Linked DNA regions of Oreochromis niloticus. Each later gene encodes a partner of the first gene's protein in a complex. Links are inferred from orthologs where the notes say so. Each region holds a gene or a part of one and is shown on either strand. Other genes may lie near its edges.

The links.
Region 2: ndnl2 (region 1) and nsmce4a share a complex: the UniProt entries of both Homo sapiens proteins name them as parts of the SMC5-SMC6 complex. The link is inferred for Oreochromis niloticus from reciprocal best matches to the Homo sapiens genes NSMCE3 and NSMCE4A.
Region 3: ndnl2 (region 1) and nsmce2 share a complex: the UniProt entries of both Homo sapiens proteins name them as parts of the SMC5-SMC6 complex. The link is inferred for Oreochromis niloticus from reciprocal best matches to the Homo sapiens genes NSMCE3 and NSMCE2.

Annotation. Positions count from the first base shown.
Region 1 is NC_031984.2:1,637,378-1,648,046, reverse strand, and holds the start of ndnl2 (necdin-like 2), read right to left. Parts: upstream 4,558-10,669; 5' UTR 4,446-4,557; exon of another isoform or gene 4,420-4,445; intron 3,359-4,419; 5' UTR 3,346-3,358; coding exon 3,298-3,345; intron 1,667-3,297; coding exon 1,547-1,666; intron 1,459-1,546; coding exon 1,395-1,458; intron 643-1,394; coding exon 563-642; intron 474-562; coding exon 379-473; intron 48-378; coding exon 1-47. Other genes in the region: si:dkey-150i13.2 (mitochondrial carnitine/acylcarnitine carrier protein), read left to right, coding at 7,356-7,457, 8,270-8,356, 8,538-8,665, 10,361-10,451. UniProt on the Homo sapiens protein: Component of the SMC5-SMC6 complex, a complex involved in repair of DNA double-strand breaks by homologous recombination. The complex may promote sister chromatid homologous recombination by recruiting the SMC1-SMC3 cohesin complex to double-strand breaks.
Region 2 is NC_031978.2:22,360,759-22,370,965, reverse strand, and holds the start of nsmce4a (non-structural maintenance of chromosomes element 4 homolog A), read left to right. Parts: upstream 1-5,972; 5' UTR 5,973-6,009; coding exon 6,010-6,170; intron 6,171-6,234; coding exon of another isoform or gene 6,235-6,259; coding exon 6,260-6,486; intron 6,487-6,578; coding exon 6,579-6,659; intron 6,660-6,743; coding exon 6,744-6,874; intron 6,875-7,812; coding exon 7,813-7,958; intron 7,959-9,947; coding exon 9,948-10,047; intron 10,048-10,207. UniProt on the Homo sapiens protein: Component of the SMC5-SMC6 complex, a complex involved in DNA double-strand breaks by homologous recombination. The complex may promote sister chromatid homologous recombination by recruiting the SMC1-SMC3 cohesin complex to double-strand breaks.
Region 3 is NC_031976.2:11,176,199-11,186,485, reverse strand, and holds the start of nsmce2 (E3 SUMO-protein ligase NSE2), read right to left. Parts: upstream 4,572-10,287; 5' UTR 4,273-4,571; coding exon 4,158-4,272; intron 3,631-4,157; exon of another isoform or gene 3,616-3,630; coding exon of another isoform or gene 3,561-3,615; intron 3,467-3,560; coding exon 3,354-3,466; intron 2,728-3,353; coding exon 2,574-2,727; intron 1,709-2,573; coding exon 1,617-1,708; intron 843-1,616; coding exon 736-842; intron 36-735; coding exon 1-35. Other genes in the region: washc5 (WASH complex subunit 5), read right to left, coding at 5,012-5,068, 5,345-5,432, 5,607-5,760, 6,002-6,098, 6,279-6,408, 6,584-6,687, 6,807-6,886, 6,960-7,062 and 7 more. UniProt on the Homo sapiens protein: E3 SUMO-protein ligase component of the SMC5-SMC6 complex, a complex involved in DNA double-strand break repair by homologous recombination. Is not be required for the stability of the complex.

The DNA.
Region 1 (10,669 bases):
CGCTGAGGATCGCTAACAGCAGACCCATCTTTGGATTGGACGGGCTCCTACGCGTCACAGGAAACAGACACTTGTTACACAAATGCAGGTTTTCTGATGACGGACTCGTGTTGGCTGTGTCAGAGTCTAAAACATGCAGGTATTCAATAATTAAATCCTGCTGCTCGTACTCGCCGGCATCAGCGTTTAACTGTTTGGGTTGTGATGTAACACATGATGTCACCACTAGATGGGGCTGCAGTCTCTGCCCACTTTCTAAAGTTTAAAGTTAAAGACCTCAGACTCCTGCACACAGCGCACACAAGGACACAAACATTTGTACTGCTGATGTTTAGACACTCGTTTCCCCGGTTTATGAATATATGCATGAATACTCACCTGATCGGCGAGGCTTTGTCAGGCGTCTCCAAATTATTGACCAATATGTACATTTTATTTTTAGGGTCGATTTCCACCAGCTTCAGGCCGAACACCTGGACAGAGCAGCAGAGGAGCGCAGCGCTGAGACAGTTTCACTGTCAAATCGTGAATCGTGACGCCGATCACCTCCAACTCTACAAACCTGGTCAAACGTCCGCGCCGCCCTCTTTAAGATCTCGGGGTAAATGTTTCGGTAGTCCTTCACCACGTGTTTCACCAGGTCTGAAACGGCACAGAGGAGACGTCATCCTTCATTACTGTGCATTATGGGACATCCACGGCTGCGAGCGAGGTTTTAAAACACCGCAGACTCACAACGTCTTCTTCAGAACCCGACACGACACACTGAGGACTTTTAATATTTTTTAAAAACAAACCTATATGTGACTGCTGTTCCTCTCTGATCCTATTCTACACAAACAGGCCTGAAACAGTCCGTTTTCAGTTTAAGCCTTTGAGCTGGAATAACTTTATATTTTCATTTGGTTTTATTTGAGAATTTTCAGACAGGCTGTAATCACACAAGAGGAACGCTCAAGGTTAAGAACAAAGTTTGAGAAAACCCCTCTTGTTTTCTGAGGAAACTAAAACCTGGAGAAGTCCAGCTGCTGAACTCATTTCCCAGATGTTTATGGACTGTAGTTATGAGATGAGTGGATGCTGCACAGTGGGAAACATACTTATGAGACATGCTGCTGCTATCAAATCCAAATACTTTCTTAAAATGATAATCTTCTCACTTAAACGATGCGTTTAAGAAGCAAACACATCGTATCGAGCGTCAACACATGAACAAACTTCAGCAGCCTCTCAGTTTTCGAGGCACACTTCTGTTCCTCAGCGCTCAGTTTAACTGTTACTCCTGTTTGATTCACAGCTCAGCTGATAGAAACCTCGGAGGGTTTTTCAGTGGAAAGCTGTCGTGTATTCAAAGAGACGCGGCATCAAACGCTCCCTGGTGGTTCTGTCTGTACCTGCTCGCCGTACAGGCATCTTCTTCTGGTCCTTCACCAGGAAGTACTGCACCACCTCAGCAGTCTGCAGACAGACGAGTGACAGAAAAAAACATTAAATACATTTTACTGATCATTAAGAATCAAACTCTGGATTTCTCCTTGTTCTGTACCTTTTGGTCGACCTGTGCAGGTGTGAGCTTCTCCAGCCCTCTCTGCACCTGTGATGTACTCGGCTGAGTGAAGGCCACGTCATCATCCTCGTCCTGAGCCACCAAGTTGCCGGTGTGTCTCTGTGTGGGAAAAATGTTGTCTGAAATCAGTCTCCATGAAACTCACTGAAACCCTCAGATTCTGCTTTCTTTTCTGTACGGTAACTTTGACTTTTATAGGCTGGCTGTGCAAAAGCTCTGGGAGAAGATGGAGACACGATAGGGTTCTTGCAATAATCGCCAAACGGACAGACCTCCAGAGGGTCAACGCCAAAAACCATCAAGTCCAACCAATCAAAGCTACTAGGTCTCAAAGAGAAGGAGCAGCAATCAATGAGCTCCTGGCCTCCATGCTGCCCCAAGCATCTGACTGCATCAGTCTGAGACGAGGTGGCAGTGACGCTACATTCACACTCAGCCTCCTTTGCTATGAAAAAATTTCCCGACAACGTCAGTGCCCTGTTTCTTTCAGAAGATCGGCTTGGAGCACACGCAACTTTAAAAAAAAATCACTGGGAAGAGAGATCCAGCAGCCGAAACCAGTTCAGGATGGTTATGGTTGGTCTGAGCTCGCAGCCGGAACCCTCCACAGGTCAAAATCTTGGCTTTGCTGCTACGCTTAGACCTCAAAGTCGCAGCCCGTATATTGATGTCAAGAAATATAACACAGTTTGGCCCTTAAAGTGACTTTTTCTGTTAGGGAGGATTTGTTTGTTGTTGAGTGCAATGTTAAAATACATTTTTCTAATGATTTAACATGAAGGTGATATGAGCAGAGAGCACAAACATGCTGAGGGATCGGCTGTGTTAGTTCAGTGAGAGTCACAAACTAATGTGAACATTTGTGTCTGTGTTTGTATTTTGTTACATACGAACAAAGTGTGTCTGTCCAGAAATAGAGGACTGGTGTGTTTATTTGGTAGTTCAATGAAATCTTCAGTTAGTTTGCAGTTTTGTCTTGTTATACAAAATTGGAATAAAAAATAAAAAACAAACAAAATGCTACACTTTTGGAAATATTTGTTTGTGTTTTCTTCTTGTTTGTTTGGTTGTTTTGTACTATTTGAACACTAAAGTGAGATGACAGTGCCAGCAAGTTTGAGACCCCTGACTTCGACGAAGTGCCGATGACCCTGAGGTACCCCGCTGAAGATGTGGAAGGGTTTCCATTAAAGTGACATTCAGACTACCTCACCGCCATCAGGGACCGGCCTGTTCGTCCAGCTGCTTCAGCGGTTTCTGCTCGTGGCATCTCTGATGTTTGTCAGCCTTTGTTTATGGAAACCATGCAAAACATTTTCCAGAGCAAACATCCAGAGAGCCGGAGCTTGCTTCTGTCCCTCTGCGTCACAGACATTAAATTACTGCACTTAAATCAAACTCTATATCCCATGATGCTGAAGCGCCTACAATTGGGACACGTGGAGTGGATGTAATATTAGTTTGGCTTCAGTTTTTTTTTTTTTTTTTAAACAGTAGTTACAGTGGTAATTATTTATCAAACTACTCCTGTGAATATTTCTTCCATGCAGGAAAAAAGATTCACAGTTTGAATCTTTTGTCCTGCGTGGGTCACTGTTTTCCAGCTGCAGTGGTTTTGATCTGGACGTGGTCTCGAGTTCACCACTTTACTCTAGCGCTTCTCATTACTGTAACACTGCAGACACTCGGAGTGAAAAGGATTTCTTCTGTGGTAGAAATGAAGGACTTACTCTCTGAGAGGAGCTCTGTGTGCTGGACGGTCTTTTCCTCTGCGTCATGGCGACACACCGCCTGATAAAGGAGACAGGTAGGGTGAACAGATGTCCCTCTTTAGGTTGGACTGCACAGTATTTTTCTTCCTGGCCCCCTGCGCCACATCTCGAATGGTTCTGCAGTACATGCACTTTTCTAAAGTCTGACTTTCACATACACGAAGGGGAGGCGGTTTATCATTATCTGAAGATGATCAGCCTGTCACCAAAGGTCATTCTGTTTGCAGCTTTGCAGGAAATTATGGTGTGAGGTGATACAGCATGTGCATCATCACTGGATTAAAAATGGTAAAACTGTCAGATGTGTCTTGAAGAAGGTTTGTGATTCAGGGATACATCCCAACTGGAACAGAGGAACTGTCACCAGACAGAAGAGCAACTGAAATAACAGTGAAGCCAAACACAATACAGGAGTATTTAAGGCCATGATGTATTTACAAAGGAGGAAAGAATTATTTGACCTCATTCCTAAATTTATAAGTTTGCTCTCCTACAAAGAAACAAACAGTCTAATTTTTATGGCAGTTTTATTTTAATAGAAAGAGAATCACCCACCCCCCTTCCCAAAAAAACCATTACATAAAAGTTATAACATAATTTGAATGTTATTGGTTGAAATATGGTTGAGGTCATCCTGTACCCTCTGCAGGAAAGCAGCCCACAGCATGTTTCAGCCTCCGTGATTGGCTGTTCCGTCTCACTCCATTAAAATCAAACTACTGTAAAAATCAGTTTGTTCATTTCTTTGTAAGCGAGCAAACCTAGTTAGATCTGAAATTTCAGACTCAGCGCTGACCTGTCCCACACAAACACAGTGTTTACCCCACATTCACTTTGTTGGGACCTGATCACCGTAGCTACACCGCGTGTGTGTGTGTGTGTGTGTGTGTGTGTGTTTCTCTGTGTGTTTCGGCGCGTTTTAAACGAGAAAGTCTACAGGCTGAACAAAAACAACAACCCGGAAGTGGCCACAGATCGTTTACGCGAAAAGCAGAGCAGAGAGCGTTGCTAACTACGTGCCCTAAAATACTTCACCCGGAGTTCCCGGGATACAGCGTGGCTAACAGAAGATTCACATACTCTGTATGTTTTAGAAGATGACTCACTTTGATCCTCCACCGGTTCCAAACGGTCAAATTCCCGCTAATGGGGCTTGTAGGCGCCTGCTGATGACGTCATTTGCACTTGCCGCTTTTCCTTTCCGTTTCATTCGACAGAAATGTCGTTGGTTTCAGTCATTAATTAAATATAAATTGATTGATTTTATTTATTTTTTCCCTGTGACAGTTTGAAGGTTTATTATATCGAGAAAATTATTTTTATTTTACAAATTCACCAGAATAATAATGTTCATTAGTTTACGTGTAAAAAGGGACTAATTTGCATAATTACCAATGAACAGAAATATGAACGTTTGATAAAGACATAAATAATCACATTGATATAACTTATGATTAAATTCATTGCACAGGAGGACCCACGTGAGGAACTACTGGAATTTATTCTACAGACTAGCATATTTAAAATGAAACTAACAGAAATCCAAGATGAGCTTCATACTTCATTTAGTTAAATTGATATATTTTTTCAGACCTCTGCACCTGTTGACTTTTCGTCGGCTGTTAGCTTCTGTGATTGGTAGGAAGAGCACATGTGTAATTTTGAAATGAGATTATTAACTTATAATAAAACTTTTTATAATAAGTTAAAAAGTCTTCTCGGTATTCCATTGGAAAGTGTACCAGCCTCTGTATGAGATAAATGTAACTGTCCATACTGAAGACGAAGCTACAGACCCTTTCATCCGACTATGAATACCTCCATGTCATCCTCTGGATGAGGAAAATAATTTCCATTATTATTACTTTTAAAAATTATATTTAAAGTCCCATGTTTATTGTTGCACCAGTCTGATATTCGAGAACATAAAAATTGCTGAAAAAAAAGTGTTTCAATCTTAGAAATTCTGGATTTGAACAGTTTCAAAAGTAAAATACTGTATGTACTTTTAATTCATCACCATTTTTAATTGTCATCTTAGACTGTTTATTTAGGCTAAACAATGTGCTACATGAGATTTTAGAGTTTTATTGAATAAATGATTTTATAGGAAAATATGCAAGTCACAGTAATTAACGTGTGAACAAGAAGCACAAACATCCACCGAGGCATCTCGCTCTCTGGGCAGTACTTACTGTTAAGGGAATAATATTCTATTTTTCTATAAACATGTAAGAGTGGATAACTTTGTAAACAACCGGATATGAATAACTTGAGGTTATTATATAATAATAGAGCTCTCTCTCTCTTCCTCTTGAAAATACTTTCCTTAAAGATTGAACACATTTTAGGATCAATAAAGGCAGAAATGTAAAAGTGAGGTCAGAGGTCAAATGTAAGACAATATTAGATAGATAGATTAGATTAGATAAAACTTTATTAATCCCTTGGGTGGGTTCCTCTGGGAAATTCGGTTTCCAATAGCACAGCACCGACAGAAGTTACAGAACGTGAGCAGAATACTATATATACACATATATAAATACAGACATATTTAAATAAAATATATGAAAGGGATAAATAGAATAAATAGGAATAAGAATACAAGGGAATTGCACATTTCAAGTATTGAAGTCTATTGCACCGTTGGATATTAGCAAAAAGTATTGCACAGTGAAGTGAAGAGGCACTGCAGCTTAGTTGTTCCCCCCTCCCTTGTCCTCCTGTTTCCCCTCCCTCTCCCCTCCAGAGAGGAGTTAAACAGTCTGATGGCGTGTGGGACAAAGGAGTTTTTAAGTCTGTTGGTTCTTGATTTTGGGAGAAGCAACCTGTCACTGAACAGACTCCTCTGGTTGTTTATGGCTGTGTGCAGAGGATGCCCAGCATTGTCCATAATGTCCATCAGTTTCTTTAATGTCCTTTTCTCTGCCACTGTCACCAGAGTGTCCAGCTATTAGGATGCAACTATGATGTGAGAATCCCCATATACCAGTATCCTTTCCTTCATGTAGCCAGTACGAACAAACAAGCAGAATCTTAAGCACAGTTTTAAAGATAAAAGACGTTTTGTCAAAGTTTGATGTTATTTGACCTTGAATAAGAGGTCAGAGGTCCAAAGTACCACAATATTTACAATCCCCATATATGATTCCCTATTTTTATCCACTTCCTTGTTATTGTTGTCAATATAAACAATGTGAATGAGAAGTTTAAAATAGCCCTATACAGCATTATCATCATTTTGACCTTCAGCTCGATCCACTGACCTTGAAGGAGACGTCAAATGTGGCGTATTTTATATGTTTTATGTTACTTTGTAGATCTTGATGATACATACCACACTTTTGGGAATCATAGTTTCTTTTGGCCATTTTCCACCAATAACTCCTGAAGATGACCTTGAAGACGCTGGTGGATGGAAGCTGAATTTCAATGGACGGTTAACATGACGCCATCTGCAACCCTGCAAAGTTTGATCTGAATTTATTCAAAACTCTCGTGTTTTCAGATGGGATGACACGCAAACACTGCCGAAAGCAGAACCTCCTCAGCAGAGGTAAGGAAGTCCTTTCAGCAGTGAAGGACCCTCAGGTGTACTATTGCAGTGTAGTATTTTTACTTTGGACATTATTAAGAAATCAAATCTTTCGTCCTGTGAACACCAGAGGGCGCTGTCTCCCCTGTTTCAACCTCACCTGTGAATACACCTGCGGCAGATTTTTATGAACTACAAAAATATAAAACGCAGTGGTTTAAAGTGCGCCATATGACTAAAGCAAAGAGTTTATGGACATGTGAAGGGGTGACTGTGAAGATAAATTATTTACAGGAAAAAACTGTTCTTCTCGTTTCCGCTCAGCTCTGAGAGACAAAGTCCACGGAGAGACACACTTAGACACACACAGACAGACCCACAGACAGACAGCTGACAGTCGCACACTCCCCTCCCGGGACAGCGGCGGTGTGAGGTGGTGAGGTTCCCCGGCTGTGTGCTCGGGCCATGCGGGGTCAGCGGGATGGAGGAAAAGCCCAGAGTGTCTCCGTTCAAGAACTTCGTGGCTGGGGGTGTCGGAGGAGCGTGTCTGCTGCTGGCCGGACACCCACTGGACACCATCAAGGTGAGAGCTGCAGCCCCAGCCGAGCTTCAACGCAGCTTATTTAGATCTTTAGACACAAACATTCAGTCCACGTGTGTCCGTGTGGGGGGGTTCTCAGGTGTTTAATGTTTCTGAGGAAGTCACAGGAAATGTCAGAGATCGTGTAGGTGCTGAAGAGATTACCGACAAATCAGCTTAAACTGTTGCCGAGGCGGCCACCTGAACACGGAATAATGAGGCTGCTCAGAGCCTGCGGGAGACTGTCGAGGAAATGTCACAGCGTGGGTACAAAGTGTGCAGCTCAAACTCACGAAGTTAAAATCAGATTTATGACATAAAACAAAGTAATGCCATGAAGCATCACATTTATTGAACACATCACAACAATTAGCTGGAAACGTCTCATTATTCTCACTATAGCATTTTCACCTTTTTAAAAAACAAACAAACAAACTTATAACTTAGTTTTTTTAAGTAATAACTGCAAATGATTTGTGTAACTTTATTATTCACATATAGTAACTTTGAATGTGCAGAAACATATCGTTACAACATGTACGTTATTTTTAATCCAGATCTTTTTCTAATCTATCTAAACCACGTCAGTGTGTTTGTGTGCGACACACTGAGTCTTTGTGAAGATACAGTTTGATCACATCATCATCACAGTAACCGTCACATGAGCGCAACACCGCCCTGTTTATCGGTGACAGAGCAGCAGATGTTAGTGGGTGTCTCCTCCTGTCTGACAGCACTCAGCAATCCTCCTGTGTGTGTGTGTGTGTGTGTGTGTGTGTGTGTGTAATTCTTCTTATTTAAACTGTGTGTTTCAGGTGAGACTACAAACACAGCCCAAAGCCGCTCAGTATGTGCTCTACACAGGAACGTATGACTGCTTACGCAAGACCGTATCCAAAGAGGTGAGCGCTTTCTGCTTATTACAGCGGACAGTCACACAGACCAGAGCCAATAGTCAGCTCTGTTTTCAACATGTGACACATCAACTGAAGTACAGACACTTCAATAAAAACTAGAAACTCATTTAAAATCTTGTGTGTGTGTGTGTGTGTGTGTGTGTGTGTGTGTGTGTGTGTGTGTCAGGGCATCCTTGGTCTCTATAAAGGTATGGGGGCTCCCCTGGCAGGTGTGGCTCCTATGATGGCCATCAGTTTCTTTGGGTTTGGTCTTGGAAAACAGCTCCAACAGACGGCCTCTGGAAAACCGCTCACGTTAGTACAAACACACACACACACACACACACACACACACACACCTTCAGAGAGCTGTGCATAAATGAATGCTGCAAACATCAATGAGCTGAAGCAACGCTGTGAAGACAAGTGGGATAAAACTCCTCCACAGTGAGGTGACAGACTCATGAAGTCATGCAGGAAACCGTCGCTTCAGCTCATTCCCGTTAAAGCTGCTGAATCATGAGGTGCATTTATTCTCACACACAGCTTCTGCTTTTTGGCTTCATTTTTGTTTAAGAGTGAGTCGGTGTAAAGTGTCATGTGTTGTTGTTCATCTGAGGCTGAATTGATCCAATTTTAAGACCTGTTTAAAACCTTAGAAGTGACAGAGAGCGTACTTGTTTTTACCCCTGTCTGTGTTTGTAGACTGGAGCAGACCTGTTACACATCCAGCTGTTTTTAAAATAGGCTCAACATCAGTAATGTGTGAATATCACAGCTAAAAGGGTAGATCTAATCATTAAACGTCACCTTAACCTTCAAACACTCCTCCAGAGCTTACACACTGTCGCTTGTGTGTTTCTCTATATATAACTCTCGCTCTGCCTCCCTTCCTTCTGTTGTCATTCGCTCATTTGAAGCAGCACGCCCCCTTCACACCCCCGTCCTGTTACCCTGACATATATATGAAATGTTAAGCATGAGTTGGAGATTACTGGTAGCTTCTGTCTCACCTCTGAAGACTTTATAGCAACACAGTCATTGTGTCTGTAGTTAAGTGAGCAGTACTACAGTATCCTGTGTTCAGAGAGGACCTGATATCCTTTGTTTCCTGGCACTGATGTTCCACTGGTGGCCATAGTTATAATACTGAGCTCAGTGTATCTACAGTGCTTTTGATTTTATTTTTACATTTTATTACTTTGTTTACCCGCAAAGACCCACTGAGATTTAAAGCACTAAATACATTAAAATACATTACACATAAAATGTTACTAATTATGAAACCTCAGTGATCCAATAACAAGATAACTTCAGTTCAGGCTTCAAACCGCTCTAAACACTCAGTTTGTCAGTTTCTTTTCTACTCTTGGATCTGTATGATGTCATAAATGAGCAGCAGTCTCATTTTTGGTCTAGAAGCCCCACCCACCTTTCAATCCAACCAATTAGAAAGCTATTTTAAGAAGAGTAGCCTTAATCCACCCATCATAGCATGTCCAGTGATCTGATCTCTGAATCTTCATTTATTGTTGTAAGAATGTTTTAAAGCTGCTCTTAAAGATGCTCACGTGTGGAAGTGTGTCCAAATACTCATACCCTCAGGTTTCTTCATCAACATCCTGCTGATGTGCAGCTGACTCACAGGTGTAGCAACAAGAAACTGCTCTTTACAGACTAACTGGTGCAAATATTGCATCTGCAGCTACAGAGGCAGATGTTTCCCTCAGCAGCTGGTGGAGATTCAAAGCGAACGAATATTCAAAAAATCCTGAATTTAAATTGAAAGAATTCTGCAGCTGTGCAGAGATTGTTGTAGAAGCGGATGTTCCAGTGGAAAGAAAGCTGTTTTAAATACATACAAGATCCTGCCGGTCCTGCTGACCAGGGAAATAAAAAATTATATTAATTTAGATCATGGTTCATGATAACTGCCTGGAAGAGTACCCAGGTGTTACTGAGGTGGCTGTCTGGTAGTGAGACTGAGCTTCCATCACCTGTTCTCTTCAGGTACCATCAGATATTCCTGTCCGGCTGTCTGGCAGGAGTCTTCACTACAGTGATAGTAGCTCCAGGAGAGAGGATCAAATGTTTGCTACAGGTAAGTGTGTGTGTGTGTGTGTGTGTGTGTGTGTGTGTGTGTGTGTGTGTGTGATATAATCAGAATCCAAAGTAAACACTTGTTTCATGGCTGATTATAATTTACGATGCTTTTTGAGACCAAATGCTCTTCATTCACAGACACGTGCAGAAGTCGCTCTGCTTACATCTCCAGCTTTAAACATCTATTGTGTAACTTTTATTCATGTGCTCAACGCT
Region 2 (10,207 bases), on another chromosome or scaffold:
TTCGTTCATTCAGGATGCCATTGAGCCGACTCCTCAGCATGCAAGTCCTCTCTTTCAGCTCCCGGTTTTCCTTTTGGAGAGAATAAATCTCATTGGGATTGGCATTTTTATGCTGTGTATTCCAGTGAGGAGGAGGAGGAGGACCACAATTATTTTTGCGGGGTCTGAGGTTGTAGTTTCCTTGGGAGATGGCAGCAAACTAACCATGTGTCTTGTATCTTAATAAAAAGACGAGTGGAGATCCTTCTTGGACACAAGAGTTGAAAACCTGTAAAAATGTTTTTTTCTAAATCGCAGACGAACTGCAGTGAAAATTTGAGAAAAGCAAATACACTGTGGTGCAGACTGAACGCGGGTCCTATATATGGGGTTTTTTTCGATGACGTCACAGTTGCCGAAACCCTTTGATGATCCCCTACCACGTGATATTAATGAGTCGAATGCATAGTTTTTGATCTCTTCCATAACAACTGTAGTTGTTGATAGTCTTCCATAACAAATGTTGTTGGGTAGATAGCTTGGACTGGGAGCACTGTAAGGTGCTAGTTCAGATTTGCAGCTACCACTCCCCGGAGTGTCGGCCAGAACACTGCTCAAGGCCCGGATGAAGGTTCAGAAGGGAGACAATGAAGACACCGAGGATAGTGCAGACTCTTGTATTGACTTCACACAGTTGAAGGTAACAGGGATTGTCAGAGGAGCAGGTATTGCATAGAGGTTTAGGTGCGTGGGTATGTGTGTGGGTGTGTGTGGTCTCTGAAAGGAACAGAAAGAACTACATTACTAAAGTGTTCACATCAATAACTCCAGAGTACATCAACATAAACACAGGTGGGAAATAACTAACATCCCCTTTAATACCATAGGCCATATATTACCCACAACTCATGCATAGACCCACTGAGAGAGCTAACACAGTACACAATTATACCCAACCACACTGCAGGAGAGTTAGCTTAGCTTAGCTTAGCACCCAGACAGAAACATAGTCATTTCCCCCCTAACTCCCAAACACATCTTATCATCACATACTCACACATCACAAACTTACGTTGGTCATTAACGCACACTTCTCAAGGAATGACCAATTCTCTGCTGGTAATCTGGAGCAGAAAAGCTCAGGTGCCTTGCCCCAGTGTTGCCAACTCCTCAGTGAGGAAAATCGCTATTGGTTGTCCTAAAAATCGCTAGAAGTCGCCAAATGACGTCATCGCCTAATTTGCATAATTGGTCATGCTAATGTAATTGTAACTTACATTGTTGGAGAGAGAAATAACATCGTGGAAGAGACATAAAGTGAGTAAAAAATACCATACATGCATTTAGAATTTATTTAGAACTATAAATTAAATTTCTTTTAGCAATTATGGTTTTTTAATGTCACAATTCCAACCCTGCACCTTTATCTGGGCTTGGACCGGCAAAAGTGACCCGAAATAGGCACTCTGGTGGAGTTACTTTCTTTGTGTGTGTGTGTGTTTACAAGTAGGTTTAAACCTTGTGATCCACAAAACAGCATAACAGTAAAAGAAGAACTGACTGTGTTACAGTCAGTGCGGGAGCAGCGGCTTCGCTCATGCGCGATTCATTTGCAGTTTGGACACATACTGTAGGTGTGAACATCTACTACCCTGATAGCAGCAGCGCGAGGACTATCCTTTGCCTGTGAGCGCTTTGGCACGGGCGAGGTGCCCACGGCAGCACCCGGTGCTTGTTGAGAGTAGGAGCGATACGCGCTTTCATGTCAAAAAGTCATCATAAATAAGTCTCCAATAACACCAGAAAAAGTCGCCAGATTTGTCGCTAGTCGCTTTTTAGAAAAAAAAGTCGCTAAGGGGGTCTGAAAACTCGCTAAATATAGCGACAAAGTCGCTAAGTTGGCAACACTGCCTTGCCCACGTTTCTCCCTGCCCATAGTCTCTCTCATACAAAGCGGTGGGGTGACCTCTACTGGCCACTCTAAAAAACTACAGGTGAAACTAACAACTGAACAGAATAAAACCATAACCACGGGGCCTTTTGTACAGTAGTTGTTGATAGTCTTGCATAACAGCTGTAGGTCCACAAGTTTTGTCATTAAAATACAGTCAGGGTAAAAACAGCGTACATTCTGTACCACATAATCAGGACATAATAAAAACGATCTAGCCTGTACCAGGTCAAAAAAAGTCCATAAACACAATCTGAGGTGAACAAGAACAACTCATTAAATATATTATACCTTGTCTTTATTTATTTATTTAGCAAAAATAAAGCAGAAATGTAGAAGCAGCACGTGAAAAACTATAAATATGCTCCCACGAGTCAACAGCTTGTCAAAGCAGCAACAACTCGATATAAATGTTTTGTTTGTTTGTTTGTTTGTTTTCCTTTTTTGGTCTCAGTCTCTCGAGGGGTTACGAAGGAATTTTGCCCACTTCCACTGAAAGAGGAAACGTTACCGTTTAAGTCTGCATTCACAAAGAAATCCCCTCAGATCGAGTTTTATATAAAACTTATACTTTTAAAGTCACAATTTAATTCTTTTTTAAAGAAAGGACAATAATAATCTGATTTTCATTTGTGACATTTTGAATTGAAATCATATTTTTTTGTCATTTAAAGCACCTTGAGGCAACTGGTGTTGTGATTTGGCGCTGTATAAATAAAATTGAAATGAATTGAAGACTTGAGACGTCTGAATGATCTTGCAGAAATAGTGGTGCTATTTTCCAACAGAGTGGACCTAGAGCTGTTATGCAAGACTATCAACAACTACTGTACAAAAGGCCCCGTGGTTATGGTTTTATTCTGTTCAGTTGTTAGTTTCACCTGTAGTTTTTTAGAGTGGCCAGTAGAGGTCACCCCACCGCTCAGTAGACTGGGATTTCATAGCTGTTGGCGAAACAATGTGAGGAAGAGCCCAAAAACTGTGGAGGTAGAGTTTCCCCAACTGTTCACGGTTGTTGTCTGGATTATGAAGTGAAAGAAATAATAATAGTTCGCATAAACAATAAGAGGACAGGACATCACAGATAGTAAAATCCCATTTTGATGCCACTGTCATCTGTGTGAACCATGTTGGTGTGTTGTTTTATGGAGTTTCAACAGCAGCTCCACCTCTATGATAGTTCGATTGAAGTGATCTGAGGCCATTAAAATGAACCCTGTGTTATACACAAGCAACTCAACTAAAAAAGTCATTATATATGTTGTGGATAGGCATAGCTTTGGGTCACGTGGTGTCGGTAATAGTAGTAGTGATTGCTATATCACCTGTTCACGGCTCGAGGGAATTTTTGTGAATGAGTGGGTGATGGGGGAAGTCGACTTTTGCTAACCGCTCAAGCCTAGAATGTTTTGATCACTGTTTTTCTATAGATTTTAAGGATTTGATAACAAATGAAGGAGTTTTTAACCTGGAACTTTGAACAGCGGGCGCGTCAACATTATTCCCCTATTCAGCTGCTCGGCGACTCAAAGGCTTGACAGTCGCCAACAATATTTATTATGCCATGTCTTTAAGTATTTATTTATTTACCAACAATAAAGCATAAATGTAGAAGCAGCATGTGAAAAATTATAAATATGCTCCCACGATTCAACAGCTTGTCAACGCAGCATGTAAATGATGTTTGCCTCAGTCTCTCAAGTCGTTTTGGCACACTGAAAGAGGAAAAGTTAGGCTTTATGCCTGCAAAACTTGTACTTTTTAAGTAACTATTGAACTTTTAAAAAAAGAACGAAAACTAATAATATACTTTATTTTCTTTATTGTACACAAGTCACACGTCTGGATACCGACAGCGATGTCTTAAGACAGATATGTTCACTATTATTAGCGCACCATCTGCCGGTGAGCTCCTGCCTAGTCTGCTGAAGTTAGTTTCATATTTGACTAAAGAAACTGCATTGATTGGTTGTTTCACAGTAAACAAAAAAGTTGACTTTGGATTAATAATCTATGGTTAAAAAAAAAAAAAAAAAAAAATTATACACAAACGTCGTTATTTTAAAACTCGCCCTATTTTCACTGCCTTTCAGAGAGAATGAAAGGCAGTGAAAAAAAATATACATACATACACATATATATATATATATATATAGAGAGAGAGAGAGAGAGAGAGAGAGAGAGAGAGAGAGAGAGAGAGCGCGATGGATGAGCAGTGGATTTGCAGCATATAATTCAGCAGCAGACACAACTCTTTTGAAGTTAGACTTCATTCAGTATCAGGCACTAAGACTCTGCACAGATGCATTTAAAACAACCCCAACAGCAGCGTTACAGGTAGAGATGGGTGAGATGCCACTTGGAAGCAGAAGACAACAACTAACACTTAATTACTGGGAAAATCCACAGGGCCATGGACAGGATCACCCAACACAACCTTGCTGGGAGAAAGAAAGGTGGGTAACAAAGAGCTTTGGATGGACTTTAGGTAGAAGAGCAATAGAACTTAAATTGGACCAGTTCAAGATCAGTCAAAGATTGGCGTTACCAGCAATGCCTCGATCGATACTTTCTGATGCCACCGGGGATTTCACATTATTTGAAAAGAAGAATAGGGATGGGGCATTTAATTTAAACTCACACACAGTAGAAGCTTACATTGACCAGCATTATAATTATGTTTAAATATATACAGATGCATCAAAGAATACAGCCAGTCAAATTGGTGTAGCATTTGTTGTCCCAGAGTTCAAGGTCAAAATAGGTAAAAGGATCAATGATGGAGTGTCAGTATACACTGGAGAAATGCTAGCAATACTGTTAGCTGTTCAATGGGTAAGACATGAGACCGTTAAAAACAGCCATTTGTTCAGACTCAAGCTCGTCATTGGTCAGTTTACAGTGTAGCCACTCAGAACGTAGAGCAGATATCCTAACAGAGGTTCAGCAGACACTTTCTATAATACACATGATGGGACTTAAAGTTGTGTTTCTATGGAGTAAAAGCCAATGAATTGGCAGCTAGAGCTGCGAAGGAAGCCACAAAACATGGGGTAGTTGACCTGGGCATTAGCTTCGGTCAGACAGAGATTGGACGAGTATTGGAGTATTGAAGAGTATTGGACGGCAAGAAATGAAAAAAAGACACCAGAAACAGTGGGAGTAGGAAAGGAGGGGACGGTGTTTGTACAAAATTCAAAGGAGGGTAGGAAAAATGAGGAGGTGGTCATATCGAGAACAAGATTTGGACATGCTGGACTACACTATTCATGATAAGGAAACATAAAACAGGGAAATGTGACTACTGTGGAGAAGGGGAAACGATAGAACATGTCATCTTACACTGTCAGAAGTGCAGGTGGAGAGAAGATAACTGACCCAAAACCTCAGTAAGATAAAAATGAAACTAGATCTTATTTATTTCCTGCAAAAGGACTCTAGAAGTAAAAGTTATCAGGTCTTATTCCAGTTTTCAAAAGAGGGTAAAGAGGTGTTTGGGAGGATTTGAGTTGGGGGGTTTTTTAAGCGACGTTCCAGTCAACACTCCATACCAGTTGGTGGCGGTAATGCACCCTTCAGTTGTTTGCCAACCGCCAAAAAAATTTAGAAGAAGAAGGAATCCAAACTATCTTCGTTCATGACGACTTCTCTGACATCCAATTGGCGCGCCTTGTGTACGTTTGCCTCACAGGTACGTTGAAGCAATTATAATAAAAACTGCGCACGGGTGGATTAGTGACACTCACAACAGGCTGTGTATTTGCTTTTAACCAAGACTTTATTTGGCCGTGGCAGTCAAACGTCCAACAGTTGAGCTAAGCTAAGCGGCTATTGCTTTTGTTAGCTAACGTCGGCTAACGTTGAACATCAAAGATGTACACGAGTAAGGCGAGATATGTAACTGTGCAGGACTTCCGCGTTCGCGTTTGCAGGCACGAGAGGGTTCTGTTTTGTTATCTGACCTGTTAGAGCTAACATGACATAGTAGTCGTTTTCCAAAAGCAACTGTATGGTAAAATTTGCTAATCTGCATTTTATATTATATTTGGGCTGGGTTTACCACGTGTAAGCACTAGCATATGCGGATTTATATCTTGATTTTTTTGTGTCTTTGGCTAAAATTGGAGAAAACCCGTGTGGCTACGTTAGATATATGTACTAATAAAACACCGAGCATCTTGACAACCGAAGCCGTAAACAGACCGTTTCTGTACCCTGTCTCCAAGACTTATTTTAGAAGGTAATAAATAGCCCTGTTCATCGATAGAAACGCGCTTTGTTTATGTTTATTTGATTTCCGTCAGCCTGCTTCCCTTTCACAAAACACAGCCGAACTAGTGCGAGAGTGAAGATGAAGAGATCCAAAGGCGGTGGTGACGAGGAAGCTCCCCGGCAGAATGGCTCAGCGAGCCGAAGGAAAGCAGACCAGCAGCAAAGTGACGGGGACGAGGGTGGCAGTGACATCGGCCCAGCCGACCTGCAAGACGACGACAATGACCAGGGCCTGAGGAGAGAAATCAGGAGCAAATACAGAGACCTCATCAGCTCAGTGCAACGTGAGTGGCAGGTTTGGGGATTGCCAAAGTTGTTGATTTGTATGTATTCCAAACAAATCCTTGATGTTTGTTCTTCTTGTTTTGTTTTTCAGAGAACAGGGAAGATATGCTGAGCCCATCAAACAACAAACTAACAGAGGTTTTAGAGGAAGCAAACAAACTTTTTAAAGATGGTAGGTCTGATACATGCAAATGAATAACAGGCCAGCAGATCAATCATTTAGACCTTACAGTTTTTTGGGGGGTTTTGGTGGCAGTTCGACAGGCGAGAGAAGCAGCCCTGGATGCACAGCTCCTTGTTGTGGCTACAGACCTGGGGAAGGAGAAAGCCAGCCAGCTGTTCTCCGAGGGAACCGCTTTCGATCCCACTGCTTTTGCTGAGCATCTCGTGAGTATGATTACTGTATCATGTCTGTCCTTCAGTCACCTTGCATGAGTGGTCCATACAGACCTTGCAGTATTTCTGTCTGGATTTGCAACTCGAGCTGCACATGCTTTTGTTTTACCTTAAGTTATGTATGGTTAAAAAAAGGCAAGGAGGGCAAAACAAAGCTGACAGTAGTTTGTTTAGTGGACTCATTTGATGGCCAGACACAAACCCCAGTAATCATGAAATGTTAAATATGTGTCTGTAGGGCTGTGCGATATGACGAAATATATCGGATGATAAAATGAAAACATCTATCGTTTCATATTATACGCTATCATTTGTTTCGTGGTGTCACAAAATACACTGTTTATGGCAATATTTTTTTCGTTGTTTGGATGGTCATCGTGTGGATGCAGGCACAGAGAATACCAGCAGAAAGAGTATGGAGAGAGTTTACGGATGAGAAGCAAAAAAAAGAGCTGTCAGGTGCTCAAAATAAACCTTAGACTCAAACATTAGAACAGGCTTTTACCCGCAGCACGGCATGTAATAAATACAAAGGAAATTGCAGCCGTTACAACTTATATCTAAAAATATGTAGTTTAATGCATTGGTCCAAACACTCGACTCCAGCTGAAAACACTTCACACAAGTCGAGTTGCCCGAGATTCACAGAATTTACAGAAAATGCACTATTTTGTCATATATATCATCGGGATGAGAAATGTCTTATATCGGGATATGAGTTTCTGGTCATATGGCACAGCCCCTATGTTTCTTTATGATAACGCGTTAGCTATAGCAGCTTTGTACTAGTTTTTTTTTCCTGTTCATTTAAGTGAATAATACAGACACAAATGCTAATAAATGTAGGAAAATGTGCTTTTTTTTAAACACAACTTTCAAAGCATCACATACTGCAGTGGTCATGTGGCGATGTCTATGTTTCTCTACAGTTGTCGTTCATGGGTTTGAACCGACTAGAAGATGATGAAGACGAGCAGCAGACCACTGCTAATGGCTACCTGCCGCAGGATGCCTGGCACCGATTGGCCAGGAGAGCAGAGTGCTGCTTTAGGACAGCCCCCTCTTTCCACTACATGTGAGTGATTTAGAAAGTCTGTTTACTAGCTGGGACCGCAGTGCCAGGGTTTTTGCCTGCCAACTAAAAATAGACTGATGTTCTGTGAAGAAGCAAATTAATAAGACGGAAGCTTTCTTGGGACAAGCACACGTGGTCTTCTGCCAGTCCATAAAAGTAGAATAAGTGGTTCCAGATTAGCTGCCAGTAATCAAAGCATCCTTGAACAGCCCTGTGCCTTTTCCTACAAACTTTTCATTTCTCTTAATTCTTTTTCTTTGAAATTATTAAGCACAGGAAGGATGTAAAGTAGAAAGATTTGGGAAAGGACAACCACAGTCCTAAGGGTATCTGTTTGCACTTACACTAGGCTACTTAGTAATGTAAGGCTGAGGGCTGCTGTGCCGAAACTACAATATTCTGAGATAGAACTACAAAAAACAAGTCTTAGACACGTCTTTGCACTTTGCATCCCTACCATGTTGTGCAATTCTTGGTAAATGTGGACAAACAGGAGCAAAATATGACAACTTGAAAGACAACTTGTGCAACTGGGTTACAGTTAAGCTTTAACTCCAGTTTGACCATTTTAATGTGTCTGCTTGTTTATTTGCGAGCAGTTTTCTAAACCCACTTTGCATAGTTTGCCACAAGATAACACCTAGGGGTGGGCAATGTAGCCTCAAAACTTGGTTTTGAAACTCCAGCAACATGTGTAGTATAAAAAACACTTTATTACTTGACCAGCGTCTTCCTGGGATGATGATGATATTAGACTCACAATATTGTTACATGTTGAGCACTTCATAAAGTTGGCATGTTGGGATGTTGTACCTTGGTCAGGCTTTGCTATAGTTTATACTGGGATAATATACTTGGCCAAAGAATATGTAAAGACTTGAGTCATTTTCATCCACTGTTTGCTCCTCCTGTCACATGGAGTGCACCTAACAAGTGCTCGAGTGATGCCAGGTTGTGTCGTTTGCTGTCATAGCCTGGGTATACTCAACTTTGTACTTTTGTCTTAAACAAAACAAGTTTATTGTTTCTACCTTTAAGAGGAGGAGATTTCTTGCATATTTTACAAAGTATTTTGTGGTGTTGGAATTTCTTGGTTGTTGTTTAAGCAGTCTGGGATTGTGTCATTGTTGTGCCTGCTGGTAAACGCATGACACTGTCGTGCCACTCATATCAGGTTGCGACACTTTTATATCACATAAAAATTTATGCTGGTAAATTATGGATGGTATGATGTGGCAAAATTTTACAGCAGCAGGGTAATGCTTGCTCAGTCATGCTTAGGGTTTTGCAGTCATGTGATGTTATTTTGTCTGCTATTTTGGGAATTTGATGCTGTACGGTGACGTGAATAAGGTCCCAGTCACGCAGTCAGCAACCCCCTGGCAAGCAGCAGTCGTAAAGGAGAGAGATGTGTATTTCCTGACCAGCTGGTGAATGGTTGCTGACACAAAGAGGTCGGCCGTTCTGCACAAATATCCTCCTCTTAATTGTTTTTCACTAGCATATTGCTCCAGTTGCCTGTAGATTGCATGCAGGATGGCTTGTCTGCAGACAGTTGCCAGCAGCTCGCTGAGTGGTCTTTTTTTTTTTTTTTTTTTTACTACCACGATGGAGTTAGTTGGTGAGTGTTTGCAAACAAGTTGGTGTCTTCCATGGAAACTACAAAGCAATCTGCAGGACTAAAATGATCACAAGGATGATTTTGGTGCGGCACCCTCTTTATGGCTGATTCTACCTACCACTCACCAATCAGTCACTCCCTGGTGGCGGTGTCATGTCCAATATGGTGGACAACTCTCAAACAATGTGAGCATAATGTCATCAACGCAACCTCACCTGTGGATTTAACATATCAAAAGTTCTAAACAGAAGGCGCATTGTCAAACTATGGCGTAAGATGGAACAACACAGTGGTTTTATGTGGATACATTTTCTGATTTTTTTTTTGTTGTTGTTTTTTTTGTTTCCCATCCCTCTGGTTCTTTGCAGGATGGGCTCGTTCTATGCAGAACCACCTCCCCCGAAACAAAGGATAGAACGGCAAAGAAAAGCACCCAGCAAAGAAGCCAAAAGGATAATGCCTACTCAGGTAACTGAAATGACACTTCCATGGCTGCCGTTACCTACATGTAGTTTAAGATAAATGTAGTAGCCACCCGTCCCTGTTTCCATTTTCCACACATACACAAAGTTTCACCACATTATCCACCACATTGTTGGTATTTGAACCCAGTGATCCCTGTGAATCT
Region 3 (10,287 bases), on another chromosome or scaffold:
TCACATCTGTGTTTCCACAGCCCACCACGGGACAGCTACGGAGCAGAGACACACAGAGAACCTTAACTTGCTTCAGACATTTAAACACACACAAACAGTTGCAGAACAGCTCAAAAAACGCTTTCTGTGCATGAGTTTCATATTAGCTTTGCCCTGTTTATCGTTGAGTAACTGTTAAGTCGTTAAACATCTGCTTAAACTTGCTTTATCATTTCCTGTGCCAGTGCTCGCAGTTTGATTCTGATTGCTTATCAGCAACCGGACTTCCATCTTTTGTGTTCTTATTATAATGTTTGCATTCTAAACTGCGGAGTCCCCTGATGTTACACACGCTGTGACAAACTGGACGACTTGAACGGTGGGAACTTCGAGGCTGCTAAAGCATGGGGAAAGCGATGTCTGATGGAATGTCATTTACTGCAGGTACAACACAATTTCTTCAAGCATAAACCTAATCTCAACAAGGAAAACATACTGCTGCAGTAATTGAGTGCAGTGACCACAGTCAGGGCTCAAGACAATAGGCAAGTTTATTTTACAGCAACACTGCTGCTGGGATTTTATCAGTGTTCCTGCAGGATCAGCCACATTTAATTTGACTCCAACATCAAAGCAGCATAATAAAGGCAATGTAAATTAAGGCAGCCTGCTGGTCCCACACCAGCCTGCAGTGTTATTTACTGCTAGAAAACCTGACTCCACTTTCTAACGGTCCTCAGAGATGCAGTGTCTTACCGGCATTTCTTTTTCTGGCTGTGTTTTGTTTTGATCAGGCCCAGGATTGCTGCTTCATCATAGTGGTGGTTACACTTCTTGTTCTTCACCGGGTTCGCCATTTCCACCTAGAACAGAGACACAAAAGAATAAGTTTCAAGTTACCTGTGTTTTGTTGAAAAAGCAGTTTGAACAAGCAAGCAAGCGAGATCAGAATGATGCATTTTGCAGAAACATCATCTTACATTCAGGATTTTGTTTTTTGTTTTTTTCTGCGTAGACACATTTTGGCACCCACCTAAGATGTTTTAGCCTGAGCCAAATGAAAATAATAATAATGGATTGCATTTATATAGCGCTTTTCGAGACCCTCAAAGCGCTTTACAATTCCACTATTCATTCACTCTCACATTCACACACTGGTGGAGGCAAGCTACAGTTGTAGCCACAGCTGCCCTGCGGCAGACTGACAGAAGCGAGGCTGCCATATCGCGCCATCGGCCCCTCTGGCCATCACCAGTAGGTGGTAGGTGAAGTGTCTTGCCCAAGGACACAACGACCAAGACAGACAGAGTTGGGGATCGAACCGGCAACTTTCCGGTTACAAAATGAGCTTCCAAACCCCCTGAACCACAGTCGCCCCCGAAAAACACCAATATTGTAATAATCCTGGGACTGGTGTGAAATTTTGTCATAATTAGCCCAAATTTTTTGGATTGTGACCATGCAAACTCTAATGAGCTCACCCTTTAGTCCAATTGAATGTCTGTGCCTAATCTAAAGGAATACCCCGACACGTAGATGGACACAATGAAAACATAACACCTCTGGGGCAAAGACAGAGGCATGAAAACACACTGGATTAATCTACCTGTAATCTACAAATCTAATCAGTAATCTACCTGTGTGAGTGGGCAGGTGAAGTTGACTTGACTCTGTGTCACAGCGATGTCCTCATCGAGCTCCTCCATGCTCTCTGCTGACTCCTGGTTAGCTAAAAACAAACAATGCACATGCAGTTTGCTTCCATTTGTCCACTCAGAGTAAAAAAATTAATCAACTTGATAGTACGTACCACCATCCACCAACGTTTACTGCACACACATGCACACCCCAACTTTATACACAACATCTTTTTTTTTTTAGTCTGCAAATAAATTTCATATCTACAGTTGTTGTCCTGGCACATCTACAACTACTGAAGAACTCAAAGGCTAACTTGAGCCCAAAGTATTAAAAACTGCTCTCTATATGTGGCCTTTGTAAACTTCTCCATATGATTATGCTATTCAACATATTTATATTTCAGCCTTTAAGCAAGCAGATCTGAAACCTCAAAATGTATCCCTTAACAGGAACATGAAGTAATACTAATTCAGTGAATAATAATGGTGTTCAATGGGCTAAGCCCTCACAGAATACACTGCAATGATCACCTCGGCTCACAAAGTTCATGCTTCAAAGTAAGTTCTCACATTTGGCTCTTTTTTCAGACATTTTCATTTTGAGTCAGCTCGTGAAAATAACATTATACTTAGCATAATGTAGCCTATAATTCCTACAGAGACTCACAAAAGCATGGCACTATATGAGGCCGGCATAGCTGTAATTAGTAAGAGTTAAAAAGCAGAAAATAACAGCCACAGGGTGACAGGGAAACAATCATTCAACGGTAAACAAAGGAAGCTGCGTGTTTTAAAATGAAGCTAATTATCCTAAAAAAGGCACATCCCAAGATCTCTCTGCTCAGCAAGAAGTCCTCCGATAGCACTGCTATTATCAAAGTCCATTAGAAGTCCTGAATGCACTGCGGTGAGTCTAATTCAAGTAAATCTCTCCCGTCTCTCCACAGGCCTTACCTTGTTTGAAAGAGTTTTTGACACTTTCCTTGAAAGCCATTACTTTCTGGTGAGTGTGCAGGTCAGCATCAGAGAGTCGGGCTATTCTCTCTGTGAACTGCTCCTTCACTTTGGCAGACAGGCTGAACATAGCCTCCGGCTGTTGAGTGGTAACCTACAGTGATTGAAATGTGTTATATAATTTGCAATAATTTGTATTTAATTCAGAAATGCTTCACAAATGCCCAAGGTTTGCGTCTTCTTCTGAACATAGTGTTAAGAGTTTTCCAACTCATCGGCTACGTCACCATGGTGACCTATGCTGCACTCTGCACAAGATTATGTTCAGCCATTCCTGACGATGTGATCTAACCTGCTGAGCTGTATGTTAGTAAAGGCAGAATCAGATGCCGCTGAACAATGTGTGTGTGTTGTGGTCCCATGGCACACTTTCTGCTCTATTCCCCATTATCACTGAAAATATTTAAGTGCTGAAAAAATGTCACTAAACTGACTTTTATATTGACTCCATTATGAGTCATTATGTTTATAACTGTGTCACATTTAAGAGCTCTAATGTACAGCTCTCACTTTATGCAGAAATAGCAGCATTAACAATGCAATGATTATTTAAAGACAATAATGACATGTTCCTCTTGAGTCAAGTAGGGATCACCTGATGGGTCTACACTACAAATGGTGCATCAAAACTTTCTATACAATGAACAAAGTTTAAGCACACTGTTGTAATATCCGTTATCTCTGTCGCCTAATGCAAGGAAACCTTCAGGCTGTTCTCACCTCAGCTGTGACTTGTTGCACCACATCAACAAAGTAGTTAATCTCCCTGTCCAGCTTGGCACACTCCAGAATCATGGCCTCCATCTCTTTGATGCCCGGGTTCATCTCGTCATCTTTAACATAAAAGCACACCAAAGAAGTATTCACTTGAGCAGTCACACCATAACACACACGCACACAAACAGCTAGCAGCTCTTTGGGAATCACCTTGTTTGTGCAAAAATCCTATGTAATGTCTGTCCAATTGTGTTATCTCTGGCATTCTTCATAGATTCAACTAAAAAAAAAAAAAAATGTTACTAGCCGCCTGTCGCAAAAACACAAAGTGCCTAATGATACAACTTAAAATCAGTTCTTTGCTAAGTTATTTAATATATGTAGACATGCCACTGGGTTCCTTGAGGTAGGTGCATTCTGTTTTTTAATATTAAAGTGATTCATAGGTCCGTGTTCAATGGCTTAACAAAGAATGAAAAACATTCCTAAAAAATGGTCAATAAAAAAGCAGTCAATGTCCAAGGAAAATCCTTGCAACATTTCCAGAAAGCCCAAAGAACTGCTGCACAAGACTATTTTGAAAACATTACGAAGGTCTGGCTCCTTTTTAGCCAATGATGGGTAGCCCAAGTCTTTTGCAAAGTACTTTAAATGTACGCTCCAAAATTAGTTATAAACCTTAAAAACAAATCTAAAGCACCCAAAAACATTAATTATTCGCTTACCAGATATATTTTAACGTTTATAAATAATGTAGTGATTATAGATGGAGTTGGTGAGCTTTTTTAGAAAATCTTTAATATTTACCCTGAGCTTCCGCCAGGTCCATAGCCACGTCTGTCACAATGTCCATACCTGTCCCGATGTCAGCCTGACAGGATTTCAGACTCGACAGAGTTCCGTGAACAGCGCTCAGAGACATTGTGAAAGCTACCTTTATTACTTTGGGACTACAAACCAGAGCTAAATTTAATGTGCTATTAACGATAACGTTAGCCTAGCTTGCTAACAGGTATCTAGTTCTGCCGGCAAAATGACCGACACCTACATGAACGTCAAGTACAATCTGTTTCAGTAATGCTTTTAGTATAAAAATAACAAGCGAAACGTAAATAAACTATAGAAACTGTGGATGCTATACAAACGCACACAAATCACCCGCTAAAACGGAGCCACAACAGAAGCTAACTTCTAACTTCCGGGTATGGTTTTTCAAAGTAAAAGCTTTAACAAAATATGTTTAAACGGAAGGAAAACAAAACTGCTTCTTTAATAGAAAGAAACGTATTTATTAATCCATTTCATTTATAAATGGCACAGAATCTTAGTACATAAAGTTGTAAGAGTGATTTATTTGCATTTTAATGTTCTTTTAATTTACAATCTGTAAGTGCAAGACACTGATAGTTAGCACAATGAAATGTAAGTAAACAAATCAAAAGGCCCCACATTTGACATATCACTGTAGAATAGGCACAGTGAATAATAATAAAATAGTATTAATACCTGTGGTCACGCTTGCTGGAGCACTTAAACCTAACAAATCAGTTGTTAATTATTAGTAACACCTGTGCAGTCACTACATTGAGACAAAATGTCTGCAGTGGAAAAACATTCGGCAAAAAACCCGAATGTTTAAATGAAAATCTTCATCCATATCTTCACAGTATTGTCCTGAACTCATCAAAAATATAACTGGGCACATGAGCTTCCGCCACCTTAAAAACACAGAAAACACAAGGAAATACATGTTACTGTTACACAAATATAGTACAGTACAGATGCAAAAAATAGTATTTTAAAATCTGTTCCCATAGCTGATGGGTATTAAATCTGGCTGTCCAATAATAATGCTCCTAAGCATATTGATGTTTCAACATTTCAGCTCTACTACTACCCCTGGGTACTGTCAACTTTGTCAACTCTTATCATTTACAACCACTTAAAATATTTTCAAACACTAATACAAATAATATAGGGAAAGTTGCACCTACCTTACGTGACAGTTTTGTGTACTTCACGTAGTCTTCAAGGAACATCAGAGCTCCCACCACATCAGAAGGCATGTCAGGGATTTTCTGACTATAACAGGATCAAACGGAAGCTTTAATATGATTTCATGAGGCTATAACCAGATACATTTTATGTCCGGTAACACAATCCGCAATCATCACCAAGGAAACCTACCACACAGAATATTTGATTTCGAATCTTATTTTAGAAATCTTTCTGAAGTTGTGAAGTCTGTTTTGCTACCTTGTGCACTGCTCCATGATTGAGCGGATGAATTGACCAATGAGAGCCAGGAACTGTTGTGTGTATCTGGAGTGGAACTGCTTGAGCAGGGTGAGCAAGCCGAGCACCAGTGGAGGCCAGTCGACCGGGTCTGTTGCTTTCCTGCAGGTCATTCCTACCATAAGACAAAACATCAAATTAAAACCACATTCAGAGACATTCAGGGACTGTGCGTTAGCAGAAAAATGTGGGGAAAAACAAATCCATAATATTTAATGCCGCTTTCTGAAAAATAATAAAGTCTGCTGCAACTGAAGTAAGTGAAGAGGCGGCAAGGACTGACCCATTGTACTCAAAACTGTGTAACCTGATCTCTGATCAACTTCAAACAAAAAACTAATGGGGGAAAAAATCACCTTGGTTTTTGTTGTACTGAAGTTTAGGCAGCTGAGCAATAATAAAGAGGAAGTTGATGATGGGGAAGTACGGGAGGCGCTTTGTAGTGATGTAGATCTGTGTGAAGCATAAGTAGAACAAAAAGAGTCTGAACACGAACATCTGCTAATGTATAGCCAAAGAAAGCAAAAAACAGCTTACATTTGTGGTCGTCATTGAAAAGACTCATTTCGATTCAGGTGAAATCAGAACAAGACTAACTGATTATGTGGGAAGAGATGCCCCTTCTGTTCAAACCTTGTTGAGAGGATTGTGAATGCCAGCAGCCTCCAGGTAGGCAGTGATATCGTACAAAAGAGTGTTGTCCTCTTTAGGATAAGGCAGGGATGGGTCCTGGTAATGGGCCTCAATGTCTGCCAGCAGAGACCTGGCAAGAACATAATCAGAGTGAGCATAAAAGAACAGTGTGAGACTAAAACAGACATGATGCAATTAGCAGAAGCATCCATCACAAAAGTCATTAACACAGAGTAGCACTTGGGGGTAAGTAATGGAAACATATAAACAACGACTCAGTGGCATTATGGCAAGAATATACAGACTTGTTGAGGTTTTCCAGTGCAGCCGCCAGGTGTTTGGAGTCAAACTTGCAGGAGTAGTTAAGCTCATTAGCGATCTGCTGTCTGAGAATCTGCATCTGACCAACCTTCAATAAACATATGCATTCAAAATTATTTTATTATTATTTTATTATTTTCATCAGAAAATTGTGACAATTTTTTACTTTTATTTTCTATTCATTAACATGAGAACATGGAGCAGTACCTTCATGATGGCTTCCTGATATGTACCCCAGATCTTCTGGGATTTGGCCACAGCACTGCTGTAGACTTTGCTGGCATTTGCTACAGCAACAAAAACAATAATGAGATCTGTACAAGAAAAGGCAGGTTATAGATTCTCTAAGTGAATACCTACCCACAATGCCTTGGACTGGACTGACGGCACCTTGCAATGTTCTGAAGACCTCCACCACAGCTTTGTCCTTCAGGATGGTCTTCTGAAGTATTGTCAGGAAGTTCTGATGAGACAAACACATACATCACTACAATCTGGGAGCCATACCACATGCACTAAAGACACTGCCAAGATTGACATGATTTCAGGGTTTTATCTTTGTTGACCTGAATGGCATCTTTTTGGGGGGTGGGGTGCAATTTGGGGGGATACTGAGGTAAATATTGGGGTAAATACCTGAAGTTCCTTGACAATCATGAAGCAGAGCAGGCGGTCCAGTCCGTTAAGGCCAAATGTACCCAGGGTGTTCTGGATCTCAGAGAACAATCTGTTGTTAGTCACCTCCTGGTGGCTCTTCAGGTCATACCAGGTGTTCATCTGGTCAATGTAACATGTCAACCTATAGGAAGAACCAGTGTATTCCACCATCAATAAACTGCATAACCAAAGATTTTTTTTCTCCTCCATCCTCAGATATAAACTCAGTTATTCTGCTAATTTCACTAACTCTTATTTCACTTCCACTGTTATGTCCGATGAGACATACTTGGGATCAGTGATTCGGAGGATTTCTCTGCAGAGACGACCGATGAAGGTGGCAGACTCATCCACAGAGGGAAACTTGGGAATAGGAATGTGGGTGGACTGGTGCACACTCTGCCAGTCCTGGATCTGAAGAGAAGCAAGAAACAAGCCAATCAGCCAACTGCTATTACTGAGAAACAGCCAAACAACTAGAACACTTCTTATCTATCAGTCAGGGACAAACTGCTCTCAGTGCACTACTCAGGGAAAAGGAGAAAGCGTGTTAAGTTTGACCTTGGTTCTGAGAAAACTGTTGCACTCCTGTTCCACATTATAGTTGACGATGCGGGACACTTCCTCCTGCCAGATTTTAAGGCCATAAATGCTGACGTAGTCCTGGATGTATTCAAACGACCTGTAGAAGCCATCCATGGTGGCGCCCATCTCCTTCAACTTGGGCATCAGTTCACTGGGCTGAAAGAGTTGAGTATTTTTTCTCTTTTATTTTATTTTACTGCTGTTAATCCTTCAATATCATTGGGAAACTTAACATGGAAACTGGTCAACATACAGAATATATATTACAAACTTTAACTGAAGATTAAAAATCCATAATATACAGCAGGTGTAGTGTCTCACCTTTGCCTTTGGATTGAAGATTAAGCCTCTGTGCAATGCATAAGCCACCCTCTTCACCAGCTCCTTCCTGATGCCATCCTCCAGAAGCTGCTTAGGATCCACCTTAAACATCACAGTGTGTTAATAAAGCAAACCTGTACTGCACCAAATCCCTCAGCAGGATTGTTTTAATCTTCTGAAAGACAGAAATCTTTGTTCTCAAATTTCAGAAACCTTAATCACTGTATTTACCTTGATAATCCCAACGAGAGTAGTCTTCATCATTAAAATGCCCTCAGTGAAAATAGATATGTCATGAGTTAGTTTTGCCACCTGCAAAGACACAGAACAGAACGATGTTTAGGCATGCAAAAATATAATATATATATGAATAATATTGATGTCAATCATTGATATAAAAGCCAATGTTTTGATTGATTTTCAGTTTAAAAAACAAAAAAAGTTCCATTCTACAATGATCTTATTTTAATTTCAAGGCACTGGACTGCAATTCCAAATATGACTGAAAAAAAAATTAAAAAGTAACTTCAGTACTTCACACTCTAATTAATCCAATTCAACTAAGTCTGCTGGCACAATCTGTTTCCATATCACGCTTCCTTTTCCAATTTGTATTTCACATCAAAAGCTGTGAGCAGATTGAAAAATGTTAGCATGATTGCCTCCGACTCCCATACAGCTGATGAGGCGAGATCAAAACAGAACAAAATGAGCTCTCTTATCTATTTTTTTTTATTATTTTATTTTATACAACATCTGAAGATATTTTTTCCCTTTTCTTTACGTCAGTGACATTCTGAACATAACTCAAGGGGAAGGAGACAGTTTCATACACAACAGTTTGTCTCACTTCATAGCGAGCCGTCAGTTGGGCGTAGTCCTTTAGCTTGTCCTTATCCAGCCGTGTGGGCACCTCCATAATGTCGTGGATCTGAAGCTTGATTATTTTGGCTAGCGAAGTGAACATGCTCTCTGGGATAATTTGCAGCACCTGGAAGCAAGACGATTTTAAAAAAAAGGACTGTTTATTGTATATCCATTAGGTCAAGGATCTCAAGTATAGCCAGAAGGAAAAAATCTTCCAGCATAAAGTTATAGCTCAGAAGTTGCCACAACGTCAAGGTACAGATGCACTAAGCACTTCTTAGTGGGTACATTTGCCAAACAGATTGTTTCTCAAAAATTCATCATTCCTGCAGCTGCTACAGCACTGATACTGAAAAACGGTTTGCAGCACGCAGAGCTCATTTGTTAAAATTATGAGACTACACACTAAGAGAATATTAGACCAAAACATTTCAAAGCAGAAGCTTTTGTAAGAGGAAAGAGAAGCAGAAAAAAAATGACATCATACACTACCTTTCTCACATAGGACACCAACTCTCCAGAGTAGAACTGAGAAACACTCAGCAGGTCAGCACTGTTGGCCTGGTTGATACGCAGCAATGGAAGATCCAATGCAGATGCCAGCTGGTCTCACACACACACACACACACACACATTTTGTGTTTTAATCAGTCCAAGTGTTACACGCTGAGCAGGCTGCAAAAAAGTGACATGAATTTCCGAATTTTTTGGATGCATACTTGTGTAATGTAGACATTTTAGCGGAAAATTCGTCCGTAAAAAATACACAGAACAAAAAATGAAGTCGACAGAAATCATAAGGAAGCTCCTGATGTTTCTAAACAAGAAAAGGAAGAAACTGAGGGTTTTTTAGGCAAAAAAGTATTAATTTTTTAATTTGTTTACTCAGCACGGGTGCATGTTTAGAGCAACTTCACACTCGCTGACAAATGCAGTGGCTTGATTAGTCAGATTTGTTTATTTGGATCTAAAAAATCTCAAAAGTTCAGCTTGATTCGAAAAAATTAATGTTGCAAATTCGTTCAGCAAAGTTACGTGATCGGTGTAAACAGCTGCATTAAGAATAGGCGAGTCCAAAAACGACTGTGTATATGTTGGACGTGTAAATTTGTTCATGAAATGCTACCACAGTGAATCTGCAATACTCATACATTTCGCAAGACATTTATCTGTGATGCATGAAGATATTGGTGCAAATGAAGGGGGAAAGTAGCTCTAATATGCTAAATAATGAGTGCAACTACAATGAGTCATGAAG